2 linked regions of the Drosophila melanogaster genome follow. The protein of the gene in region 2 interacts with the protein of the main gene of each other region in a pairwise test. Each region holds a gene or a part of one and is shown on either strand. Other genes may lie near its edges.

Region 1 (6,800 bases), on a different chromosome or scaffold from region 2:
AGAAGCACTCCCTGGCCTGTGGCTCGCAATTGTCGTAGGGTTTCAGCATGGCATCACCGTGAGCCACCTTGCCGCCGGCATCGATCTCGTCCAGCTCCGCATCCGGCACACAGGCGCACTGGAAACTCTTGTTGCCGCGACTGTACAGCTTGCGCGGATAACCGATCCAGGAGCGCTCCTTGCCATCGCCACTGGTCGTGGTGCACCAGACGCGAGTGCCGCGCTCCTCGCTCCACTCGATATTGCAGCCGGGATACCGGGCACGCAGCTCCTCCACCTGTCGCTTGGCATCTCGTGCCTGCTCCAGCAGCTCCAGAAACTTATGATGATAGGTGGTCAGGGCGCCCTTCTCATCGTAGAAGCGCCCAATTACCCGTCCCTTGTAGACGTAGTCCTTTTGATAGAAATCCCGCCATCCGGCCAAACCAATCAGGTCGTCCGGCTTTAGGGTTAACACATCGTCGGCCGTTTCCGGATCGTACGTCTCAAAATCACCGGAAATGAAGGATACGGAGGCGTCGCGACCCACGAAGAAGTTGTAGCTGCAGCCGGATCCGTAATGCTTAATGCCGCGGCTCACATCGAAGACGGAACCGAGTAGAGCCAGGTAAAGCGGACGACCCTCTTCCTCGCCATTGAATTTGGCCAACTCGGCCGGTGTAAAGAGCGTGCCGATATCGTCACCAGCTTGGAACGCCAGGGGAATGCTCGCATCCTGCCCAGCTTGGTCCAGGTAGTTGTCCGTTTGGCGACGCAGGAACTGCCTAATCTCTGTGTGATAAATTCCGCCCAGAACGGCTGCCACAACGAAAAGAAATTGAAATTTGAACAGGTGTCGCAGCAATCCGAACATCTTGCCGTTTAACAGTGCGGAACCGAAACTGGTTCCACTTGAAATTGAAACTAGCGTACGGTTAAGGTGACCATGCCAGATAACAGACCGGAAAACCGGTTTGAATTTAAAATTTTGTATTTTCATTCTATGTATAATAATGTAAGTTTTTCGATTAACTCCGTTATTTATTTATACTTTCGTACACAAAAATTGAACTTTAAAATAAATTCTTTCTAAAATGTTAGCACACAAATCACACTGCAACAAGCAACACTGCAAAAAAAAAAAAAATAACTAAATAACATTTGGCATAGAACATGCATAATTTTTATTTGCAGAATCCAGGTAAATAAGTTTGTGTTCACCTAGCGACGACGGTAGACGCAGGCGTCGATGTTGTTGTTCACCTCCTGGAGACCGAGCACCGCCTGCGAGGATGCGGAGTGGGTGCACACATTGCCATCGGCGAAGACGTCCGGGATGCGTTCGCTGGTCGACTGACGGATGGTCTTGATGGAGGAGCGCGCACTGACCAAATAGACGGTGGCCTGGACATAGAACTTGGCCAAGCAGGTCTGCTTCAGCACGGAGTTCTTGTACGAGTTGCATTTGTTGTAGGTGCTGGCCAGGCTGTAGCCACCGTAGACCAGTTGCTGGGTGGCGGCACTCACATCGGAGGCAATTTCGGCGGATGTCTGGGCGGCCACAACGCCGCAGGCGTACAGATCCTCATGGGCGGCATTCACGATGCGGGTGATCTCCTCATCCTCGGCGGCCACGCATTCGGGACTCTCCTCGCGACGCGACTCCACCTGCTCGACGGCTGCCTCCAATTCGTTTTGCGGCTCCAGGACGATCTCTTCGTACTGACTCAACAGTACCTCGCCGGTCGCCTTGCCAATGCTGGTCATCTCATCCACCACGCTGCGCACCTGGGCGTCCAGCTGGCTGGGCATGTCCAGCGGTTGGGCCCATCCACTGGCAACGAAAAGGGTTAGGATAATGGCAACGGTGTATTGCTTCATGTTTGATACTTTAGCTTCTGCTGATGGGGAATTTTTTAGTACAAATCGTATTTATACCCTGGTCATCCAGGAATGGATTATTCGCAGACGGTAATTGGCTAATCTGGATTGGTGGCCATAAATTTATTGCAGCCATTGTAAATCACTCACGGTTTGGTTGGATTAGTGAACTTTACATTCGGACGCTATTCATTGAGTTTAGCGTATTTGGATTTAGATTAAAATTAGAACGATCAAACAAAGAATGTTAAAAACATCATAACAATGGCTTGTATGTACAATGCCACTTAATGAATGAAAAGGGTAGGAACTAAATGTGTAAATACAATTTAATTTATTATTTGTTTACACATTTTTTTTAAACAGCATAAAAGCATATTAAAGTAATCCTTTTATATGATTATATCTTACACCACTTGGTTTATCTGGCAAAAGAAATCAAAGGAAAATCCAGTCAGATATCACAATTAAAAATTTAATATAAAAAAAAAAAAAAACGGTGAACTGGGAACACCCAAAAAAGGCAAACAACATTAACGCGTGTGTGTCTAATGTCTCAAGTGATTCCATAGATTGGATTGCCACTGTTTTCTTTCCTGACTTCGCAATGACTTTTAATCGAGGGCATAAGCAGTCCCATAAATTATATGACATTATCTTCTATAATTATGGCATTATTTAGATGCTTCGATTAGTGCGATTTTGAAGTGGCGAATCCAGTAATAGATGTTTCCTATCGCTCAACGCAATATAATATAATTTGTGATCTTATCGAAAGTCTCCCTCTCTTTTCAGCCCACTTTTCTCTCTCTCTCTCTCTCTCTCTCTCTCTCTCTCTCTCTCTCTCTCTCTCTCTCTCACTCTTTCTTTCTCTCTCTGGAGTCGTTGGGGACAAAAAAAAAGTAAGACGGAAATTATTGCGATTAAAGTTAGCCAAATAATGGGAAATATACCAATTGGCCGATAAAAAAGAACTCTTGAATATATTTTAATTAACTGGGGGCACCGATATGGCAATCTGAATGCGCACCAAGTGTGTCGTCCATCCATATATAAAGTGACTTCGCAGCAAGATCTCGTCTAAATCCATTCAAAAACCAACAATGAGGAGTATTATTTTGGTGTTGTCATTCGCCTTGGCGGCTGTGAGTAGAAAATTAAAGATATATGCCATGTAAAATCCAATAAAAATATAAGTTTTCTAAAAATGAAACAAAACTAACAGTTTTGATTTGGCAAAAAAGAATAGGATTCATTTTATCAAGCCTATCGAAATAACAGATCAACAGTGCGTATGCGCGATATCTGATAAAAACCTTATCGTTTTAATATTGCTCTGCGTTTGAAACATATTTTAGAAAACAGTGATACTACTTTTCGAATATATTTCAAATGCAAACAATAAACTTACGAAAAAATGTATAGTTGCCAAGGAAGATTTTTAAAGTTGGTCCACAGTGCGTATGATTAATGTGATTTGCCATAGTTAGCATTGAAATCCACCAGCGTTTACCACAAAGATATAACAAATCAAATTGAATGCACATGATTTTCAGGTCTCAGCCTTGCAACTGGAGGAGCCAGTGGTTGAACAGGATGTTTCTCTGCAGGAATTGGCCAAGCAACTGGGTCTCGAACTGAATCTGGACTTTGACTTGGGACTGAAACTAGACCTGGTTGACGAGCTGCCCGAGGAGGGCATCCTGGATGTGGACGAGCTCGCCATTCTGGATCGCACGTTGCGCTTGCTCATCGCCGAATCGAAAGCTCTGGCCAAGGAGATCATTCTGCTGACGGAGCGCCAGCTGCTAAAGATCTTCCTGTGGCCAATTAAGGAGCTGGAGAAGCTGGCGGAGGATGTGGAGAGACGGGCATTGGATGCGGGCGAGTGTGCCATCAATGTGACCAGCAGTTCGGCCGATTTGGTGGCATCCACCACACTAGACTTTCTGGGCTGCGCACGCGATGCTGCCGTCACGTCGATCAATCTGGTGCTGGACACCAAGAAGGCGGTGCTCCAACTGACCCTCGATGGCTATCAGCTGTATCAATTGAGAAAAGAATGCAACAGTTACAAGGCTAATAGCATTCGAAAGAAGACATGCAAGGTCAAGTTTACCACCAAGGGCATCCTGTACGTTGCCAATGGACAGGCCTCGTTGCGATACCTGATCAGATTGCGAAAAAGCGTTCCCGCCGTGGCTACCGATGCCACCAGCTGCACCACCAAGTCCACCGAGAATGCCATCCAAGGATTTGACGACCTGAACGCCGCCATCGATGCCTGTGCTGCAAATTTTAAGTGAATGTGAAAAGTGACAAAATAAAAATATAAAAAATGCATCCAAGTTATATGAAGAAAATCGATTTGTTTTGGTTTTTTGAGTTATTAGTTTTATTTAAATTTGGTTTCATTATCGTTCATCTTCTTTAAATACAATAAATAAACATTTAAACTATTTAGTGGTATGTATATATATAAATCGTTTGTTTTTGTTTTTTTTTTTTTTTGTTAAATATTTTAAATAAGTGTATATATATTGTATTTCATGGGGTCTTCGCCATCAACTTTTGCCGCGATTACATAATTGTTCTTCGTTTTTCGTACCAAAACTTTTGCATTTTCGGGATTGGTTTGTTTTGGTTTCTTGGTTTTTTAGTTTTTAAAGAAACTTGGTTTGTTTTGGTTTGTTATATAAGTAAATTGCTGTGTTCGGGCTTACGGTCGTCAAATGTCTCCTATATATTTTTTGTATATATAAATATATATGTATATATATATAATATATATTTACATATATATCGTACTATATACCACACACATTGGCGTGTAAGTAAAAGTAGCTTGTTGCATAAATACTAATGTATAAATTGTCGGTTTTTGGTTTCTAATCTCTACTCAAGTATGATCCCACATACAAATACAACTAAGTTTTGCATGTACTGGTATATCTGTATATGTATGTATATGTGTCTGTGTGTGGGTGTGGGTGTGGGTGTGTGAGTGTGAGTGTCGGCTGTACATATGTAGAATGTATGTACCATTATCAATAATTAGTTAAACTGTAGCTAGTATATGTATTTGCCATATGTTGCTCAACAATTTCTTGTACCTCCCGCATTTTACGATTATTTTATTGGAGTTTTTCATTTTCATTTTCGATTGCAGTGATTTCTCGTGATTTTCAATTATATATGTTTTGTTTTTTGTTTTTTTTTTTTTCATTAGTCACAGATGTTTTTAGGCGCGCTTGTATGCTTTAATGAATTCAGCGTGTGTTGTATATTATTAATAATTCAATTTGTTATAGTAGAAAAAAAAAATATAAGTAAAAGGCAATTTCTTAGTATTTTTCAATTTTTTGTTGGTTTTTTTTTCTGAAAAAATTTGTGCTTAATTTTGTAGAGATTTTCTTTCATTGCCTGCCTTCTATTCGTTTAAAACAAAAAATGTTAAGATATTTTTTTGTTTAGGTTTTTTGTGTTTTTGGTTTTTTCTTTAATTTTAATAATGTATAATATTTAGTTCAATAAATTCGTTACGACACATGGACTAAGACACAGCAAAAAATATTCATGCTTAATTTAGATTCAGTTTTGTGTGATTTCTTTTTTTTTTTGTTTTGTATTTTTCGTATTCATCTCGCATTTGATTTGTTATAATTGTTAGATCTTTTTGCGGTATTATGGTTTCAATTGCATATTATACTTCACATACTTCGCGTCCTAAATGCGCTTGTAAATATTTGTCAATAATAAATGATGAAACAGCTTAAGAACTCGAGTTTTCTTTTTTATTTGTTATTTTTTATAATTTATGTTATTTTCATTCGCGAATATTTTGCAAGACACCTGCCGGTACATAGTTTATCTGTCAGCTTCCAAAATTTATAGTTATTTTCGAAATTCTTTGCTTTTGGGGCTAAACGTTCAACGGTTTTACGCTCACTGATAACATCCAATCGGTAGTTGGTAATCGTTAATTGGTAATCGGTAATCGGTAATCGGTATCGGTAATTTATAGATAATTTCGTATTTTCCGTATTCTCGTATGCGGTATTCGGTTTTGATATGTTCGCTTCAAATGCGTGTCATGAAAATACATTTGCTTTGCTGATTCTGCAATACAACTTCATTTAATAAAAATATACAGTAGAACCAGGCTACTACATAAGTACATAGTTAATTTTTTTTTTGTTATCTATATGTATGTCTGTTGACTAAATTGGGCAAATATTTATATTTTTACTTTAATTTGTTCATTGGGCGTTGTAATTCCGTATTCGTTCGTAAGTGCAAAAACATCATTTTTGAAACTGCATTTCATCTTCGATTTTCCATATTCATTTTCAACCGTTTTGGTTTCATTTTTTTTCAATATTATTATTACAATAGTGTGGCCAAAGCTTATTGTCGGAAGCGTTATGCATTTTAGGTTTAGTTTTTCATTATTTATTCGGTTTTCTAACTTTTCTTTAATGTTTTGTAAAAATATTTTCGTTACTCGTCAATTTCGTTTTGGAATGATGGAACATTAAAATGAAATGGGAAAAAATGAAACGCAAAATGTAAAAGTTATCGAGTTTTTTTTTGTTTTTTTTGTTTGGAAAACATGGTAAGGCTATTTTCGTAGTGTTGTTTGCTGTCATTTTCTCCACACTTGAGTTATTTGCGTTTTGAAAAATGAATATTTCATTTTGGTTCTTTGCTTATATTAATCACTAAAATTTATATTTGTTGTATATATTTTTCCTTCGATAAATGTATATAAATTTTTTTTGTTCTGGTTTTCTTTTCTTTTGGCGTAACTTTGTGTGAGCTGTGATTTTTTTTTTTTCGCTTTTTTATGGTTTTTTTTTCTGCCCATTCTTAGTTTTCTCGTAAAGAAAATGTTTCAAAAAATGTTTAACAAACAATTCAATAGGCTTTACACGAAAAAT
Region 2 (6,937 bases):
CAAAAACAATTTAATTGATAACGAAAGTAAATTTATTGAATTCAGCGGACTGAATCGCGAACTGTATATAACTCTATTGCGAAATCGTTCAGCAAAATGTAAATTAATTGAATATACAAATAATATAAATGGCAGAATCCAACCAGAGACGTATTCCAAACACTAATGAATTGCATTTAAACGATACAAATAAATACATAAAATAAATAAATAAACAAATAGCGGCAGGAGACAAAGGCGCAAGGCGGCCAAAGAAATAAATAAAACGAATCAAACGGACAAAATGTAAACATCGTGTGCATCGCCAACCCGCAGGCTCGGCTCGTATTTATTTATCCACTTAACGTCCTTTTTAATTACACGCACTCCCCCGATCCACGGCAAATCCCATAAAAATCGTCTGAAATTAATTAAAGTTGTCTCTGCTCGTGAATTTGTGTGTACGTAGAAATTGAGGCTGCAGCGTCAACTTAATTGCAATTAGGTGCAGGCCCACTCCCACTCAATCAATGCCCTCAAAGCGGCATTAATTATGTGTGCGATTGTCCCAAGGCGTCGGCTGTCACACCCTGCGTATACTGGATGCGCCCGTCTTTGAGCGCTTAACAAATTGATCCCGGGCCAAGTTAACCGCAAGCAGCTGTGAGCCAACGCAAACACGCTTCGCAGACAGACGGGCGAGAAAAAGCCACGGAAATAAATTTCTGTGGTCAATATTACAGCAGGGGCGGGCTTTTCTTTTTACGGGTGTGGACAATTAACACATTCCGGCTTGCATGCATCAAATGTTCGCGGTCTGCGGCTAACCACCTTTCAGCCACCCACCCCACAGCAGCGCCCAACCCTGACACTTATGTTCAGCCTTTTAATTTCCCGCCAAAAAGCCACCAACAGCCGGTTGGACACCCCATTTAAGTGAATGTTGAACAATGACAGTTTGTTAGACCTAAGCGGCGTACATATATGACCATAGGCAAGTACGATACAAATCGAAATCAAAATACATTTCTAAGCTCTTAAGTGTTTTTCATCAACTCGATTAACGTGTAGACGCCATTCGTGTAATTATCAACACCCGACTAATTGTAAATAAATCGCATTAAACGCAAAAGTCCCAAATTCGCAGAGGTGTGGACGTTACCTTTTAAAGACAGACACTCGAACACACGTGTACTCATGATATAGCAAAGTTTAATGTTAAGTACCGACTAATAACGAAAATACTTACATACACATATACATATGTAAACGAAACTAAGAACTATGTGAACTTTAACTGACAAATTTATTGCATTACATACAATAAAATAATACAATTGAATAACTTAAAGAAGTCTTTTCATTGGAGTTTAAGAAAAAAAAAGTCCAACACTTATGGTAAGTACAAATTTAAAAAAAAATTATTCATTTATTTATTTATTTAATCATAAGCAAGATTTATTATACATCTGGTACATACAGCAATGTGCAAAATAGTTAAAATTTTTATATGCAAACCACATTTTAAAGCATTCATTTAGTTATCTGAAAATCTAAGCTTAAAATGCCTTTTTTTTTAAGCCACAGAATTATTTATCATTACTAGTTTTTTTCCCATACATCTTAAAAATAAAACATTTCAAAATTCACTGACGGGACAGTTTTTGATTTTCTCTTCTTATCTTTAAAACCTTATATGATTAATAAAAAATAATCACATAGTGTTCATTATAGGAACCCATTTCTGATAACAACATGTTAAAACAAAGCCTGTATATTTTAATTTTAAAAAATTGACAGACACCTTAAAAGTTACAAGGACAACCGTTATTTTATCACTTATATTCAGTTTTCTGGTTATTCTTGTGTTACCTTCCCAAATGCTCAAACTAGCCACACATGATGATATGATGAAAATATGAAATTGATTCGATGCGATGCCGGGGAACTATTAGTTTGGAATTTGGTTCACCACGGAAAGAACGGGGCAGGTCTTTTTGATAATGATACGACGGAGGTGGTCGTTGATGGCAAATCCGCGAATGACGTTATTGAGCATTATGCCTAACACCTCGCCTGTGCTGTCATCGGTCATGGTCTGAGGAACGAAGTGGTTCACGGCATATGCCATTACAACGGCCGACTTCCTGTCCATGACAATGGCGGCCACCAGGCGACCGATGCTCTGCGGTCTGCTCTGGGGAGTTTCCCCATCGGTCATGAATTCCTTGGCCAAGGCGAGACCCTTGGCAACAAAAGCAATCGTGTCGTCGTGCACATAAGCGGGGGCCTCTAAATAGGCGGCCGCCGAATGCAGCAGGATGCAGGACACCTCCTCCATTTCGGCCCAGAAGACGTTTCGTGAGGTTTTGAAGTGACGAGGACAATGGTCGGCATGCAAGCTGGGGATCGATGGCGGCGAGTATGCCTGGAAGACGAAGTCATGGCTGTGATAACAGATTACGCCTGTCACATCGGTCACTTCTCCAGGTGAATGGCTAATAGTATCAGACGCGATCGTCTTGTAGGTTACATTGTTTGCATTCAAGTTATCTCCCTGCTCTGCAAAGAATCCCGAATCTGGAAACGTGAAATTTGGACCGTGAATGTAGACCATAAGTTTTTCTGGTTGAAAGAGCTCGGTATTCTGGATTAGGGCCGAAACGTCTACATCGTAAGTGACATTTTTTTTCCTCGAATCGTGGTCTACGACCTCGTTTAAATTCTCTTCTGGAGTCATTTCATTCTCGCTATCCGAGATTTCGTAAATTATAGGAGTGTCCATTACTTCCTCTAAAGCTCCGTAGTCTTTGACGTCGGCTAGAATCTCTTCTGGGGTCACGTCCTCTTCGCTTTGCCAGACGTCATCATAGATTGGGGCAGGATCCTCCCCGAAATTAATTTCATTGTCGTAAATAAGTAACAATTCATCTTCAGCATGCGCAATAAAGACTTGGTCACAAACAATGTGGGTATCCATTGTATAAGCTATTTATAGTATTAATTATCTTATTGTCAAAAAAAAACTTTCTTCCGAAACGTGCTATAGCCAGGGATGGAGATACCCACTTATCGATAAAACTATTTTTCTGGGTGAATGGCGATATTGGGGATTAGTTATATAATTTAATTTGTAAAGTTAGAAAAAACAAATATTGCGTTTTTCATACACTGTTAAATATGTGATTCCTTGGAAATTTAACAGCGATTGTTATCATTTTTACAAGCCTGCTACACGAAGTTATAAACACGGCCATATTGTTTACGAAAGAACTAGTTTCTTAAGAGTTTTCTCCACATCTCAATTTTATAAGATGACAACACTGCTTAATCGATTTTAAAAGCAGAGGTGATGAATAGCAAATTGACCAAATATGAGATTTAACAATCATCAATTTAACGCAATAGTGCAACAATCATCTGAGTGGTAGAAATATTTTAAGCTTGGTGTTTGAAAAACGAATAATGAAATGTTAAAACATTAGTGTCGGAATGTGAATGGAACCAGTTTTGGGTGTATTTACAACGGAAATATAAAATTAAGCCATCCGAGCCAACGGGGTGGACAATGGAGTCAACAGTCGGGTCAAGGTCGACTCGTTGTCTAATTCCAGGCGAGGCAACAAGGACAAACGTGACTGAAAGGATTGAGGGTTTGATCCGGCCATTTTCCATTAGGACAGCCGACGTCCTGCAATTGTTGTCGACCGCATTGTGTCTGGCAAATAAATTAAAACGGGGAACATCGAGAGATTTACAATAATAGTAGCCCAGAACATTAATAAAACGGATAAAGTTCGTAATCTGTTGGCATGCATGTATGTATATTAGGAAACGTAATAGAAACAAAATATATGTAGTTCGTTCTTCTGGAACTATAGCATTCATTTTCATTTATTGATTATTTTCCAGTGAAATTTAATTTACTGTAAGTTACTTGAACGTTACTTGAGAGATTCAGAGATCCTTGAACATATTTTAATTACATATGCGGGACTCGAACTTGTCCTAAAAATCCTAATGGAGTTATGTGGCGTTTCTTCGCGCCATTCTCGTACTTGGAGGGGTTTAAGTTATACGAGTGTAACAAACATCCTGCGGTCAAGTCGCCATAGGAATGTCAAAAGAAGAACTCTATACTTTGCAGACTGCCGATTCTTGTGCGAGGCGGAGAGTAGTGGTTGTGTAGAGTTCACAAAAAAAATTAACAAGTGAAGGGGGATATGATTAAAAAAAGTTTGTAAAGCCCAATCATTGCATCAAATTTTTATTAACGAAACTATTTGCTTTAAGATTATTTTTTGCCATTTAACACAGTCTTGGCTTATATTAGTTTACCATTTTGAGAGAGTTCTTCGTATCTAAATCTGATAATTTGAATAAGCTTCTCCAAACTTGCTTTGACCTGCGGCCCTAAAAGAATCCTCATAACGAATGCCTGGCAAGGATTTGTCTCAACTTTCGAACGCAGCTTTCGAATGCAAATTTAATGCAGCAGCCAACGCTGCGAAGCCGCATAATTCTCGAAAGGGGGACTAATGAGGGCTTATTCAACGGGGGGCGTGGCAGGCAAAGGAAGTGCCTGCAGGCTGACCAGGCTCATCTGTAGCTTTTGCTTTTGCTTGGCTCGTAACAGGGTCAAACTGTAAGTAGGAAATGCAAAGGGCATTCACATTTTGATTTCATTATTGCCATTTTCTGGGCTGCATATTCAGACTGACTTCCGAGTGCAACGTCACCGCCTTAAGGATGGGTTTCACCTGCTTTTCCTCTAATAAGTGAGAGTCTGAATGCGACGAAGTGGGGTGGTGTGTGCGTGTGTGGGTGTACCCATTGTATATGCTCTTCTCACAAGGTGAGCCATTGAAAGGAGCCAGGATCAAGGAGCACAGGATGGTGGCTAATGCCAAAGAGCCTCTGCTTCGAGCAGCCGTACACACACACACACACACACACACACACACTTGTGCACTACAAAGATTCCTTTCAATTTGGGGGCGGAAAAGTTTTCGGGGCTTTCGGAATCAAAGCCAAGCCGAGCGGTTTGAATAGGATTTGTGATTGCAAAGGACCATGTCTAAACGCGATTTTATTACCGAAAAGGATGCATTCGCATCGGGATGTATTCCTTCGGCACCGCAGCGCTGTTGGTCATTTGCCAAAGTTTTGCAAGGTACTTTCGGTGCCCTTCAGGTGTTCTTGGGCTTAACATAGATTTTTTCAACGGATTTTTAAGAGGAATATAATTTTAGGCATTTATCTTATCATGTTTTTCCAGATTTAATCAATTACAACAAAAAAAACACATTTGAATTACAGTATACTCCATATTTTAATAGAAACATTTTTACCAAGTGGAATAATATTTAAATTTCATTTCTGACAAACAATTGGTGAAGCTTTTTGCACGATAAATATAAGCGGAATATATCAGAATATTAATAAATTTATATAAGTATTAGGAATAAAGATAAACATGCTTTCATATTGGCTTTGATTTATATCAAACAAATAAAAACAATAAAATTAGCCCGTTTGTGTTAAAACGCTTCTAAGACGACTAAACCGTTTTAAAACGAATTCCCACCATAAATCATTGGCCCAAACTTTACCCGAAACATTACCAACTGCTGCAAACATATTTCCCGAAATTATGCAGAAAGAAAAGGTCGTTTCCGGTGGCCGAAAAGGCAGAGAAAGTGGAAAAGTGGAAAAACGGAAGCATGCAGGACATGAGTAAACAAGGGCCGGCCAAGGCCGCTGGCCCAAAATTTATAAATTTCCGTTGAAAATGAAGTTTCAGAAGTTCTGCATCAATGGATTAATTTTACAGCAAAAGAACCCCAGAACCAAACCAAGTTGAACCCAAAACGGTAGCCGAAAATGGTGACACCGGACATGAAATAATTTCAATTTTTGGTCATTTCCCCAGCCGAAAAAGAAAGGAGCAGTTCCACCGAGAAATGAGTGAATTTAAATGTTTAATAAACTTTCGCCAACTACGCACACAAATGGCTGGGAATCTTCGCCACAGTTTTCCACCATCACCAGCCCCATACGCTTTTCTCTCCCCATTTCCCACCAAGCCGCAAACTGCGAAAATGGCGAAAAGGCGTCGCCGTCATTGCTTTACACTTTTCTTCTAGCACTTTTCATTCATTTAATTTTCCCGGTCACTTTTTTTTTTTTTGTATGTAGCCGCTTTTCCCCTTAGCAGATGGCACTTGGGTATTTAACGTTCGCTAATGCCTCCAGCCGCTGCCGCTGATGCCACCGCCTCCGTTGCGGTGCAAATGGGGCGTGGCATCGTCCTGGCCAGGCCAAAACCAAGGCGACAGTTGGCGGCCGTTTCCTAATTACAAATCACTGGCGGTTCCCACAGCGACGCCGAGGGAAAATGCTGGGGAAAATAAGAAAAAGAAATTACATTCTTTGCAGCAGCAGCAGCAGCAGCAAGTTCCCCTGTTTTGTTGCTGCTTTCTTTTCGGACTTTCTGGGTCAACAATTATGCAAAATACTGTTATTTTAGGAGCAGACCGTCGCATTTATCTGTCCCTTTTCTGGTTGGGACTTGCGGCCTTAAACAAAGCGCTACCTAAAAAAAAGCGGGGGTTTCGGGTTGGAAAATGTGGCGCATCCGTTTTATAATTAGTTAGGGACCCCCCGCAGAAAACGGGGGAAATTGCTAGAGGGAATCCGGGAGTGAAACAGCTTTTAAGCGCGAATTAAAGATTTAATTGCTTGAAATTTGGCTAAGTGTGTTGCGCGATTATTGGTGTTTCTTCTCGGCCATTTTAGCCATCGCCCATTTCAGTTTGAGTGATGTAATTGTTTTTGTATTTAAACTCCTGCAATTAGCCAAATGTTCATTTAAGATTAGAATGGCACCCAAAGGGTCAAGAAGTTACCAAGAATATTTGCACATATATAAAGAAATTAAGGGAACTCAAATGTATTT

The links. Proteins that work in one complex are often made in the same cells at the same time.
Region 1: the proteins of CG15185 (region 2) and CG12115 interact in a two-hybrid assay, tested with the Drosophila melanogaster proteins (one large-scale study listed by BioGRID).

Annotation. Positions count from the first base shown.
Region 1 is NC_004354.4:9,186,745-9,193,544, reverse strand, and holds CG12115 (uncharacterized protein), read left to right. Parts: upstream 1-2,939; 5' UTR 2,940-2,963; coding exon 2,964-3,005; intron 3,006-3,416; coding exon 3,417-4,166; 3' UTR 4,167-4,219; downstream 4,220-6,800. Other genes in the region: CG12056 (uncharacterized protein), read right to left, coding at 1-853; CG12057 (uncharacterized protein), read right to left, coding at 1,201-1,860.
Region 2 is NT_033777.3:6,523,551-6,530,487, reverse strand, and holds CG15185 (uncharacterized protein), read right to left. Parts: upstream 2,981-6,937; 5' UTR 2,960-2,980; coding exon 1,931-2,959; 3' UTR 1,814-1,930; downstream 1-1,813.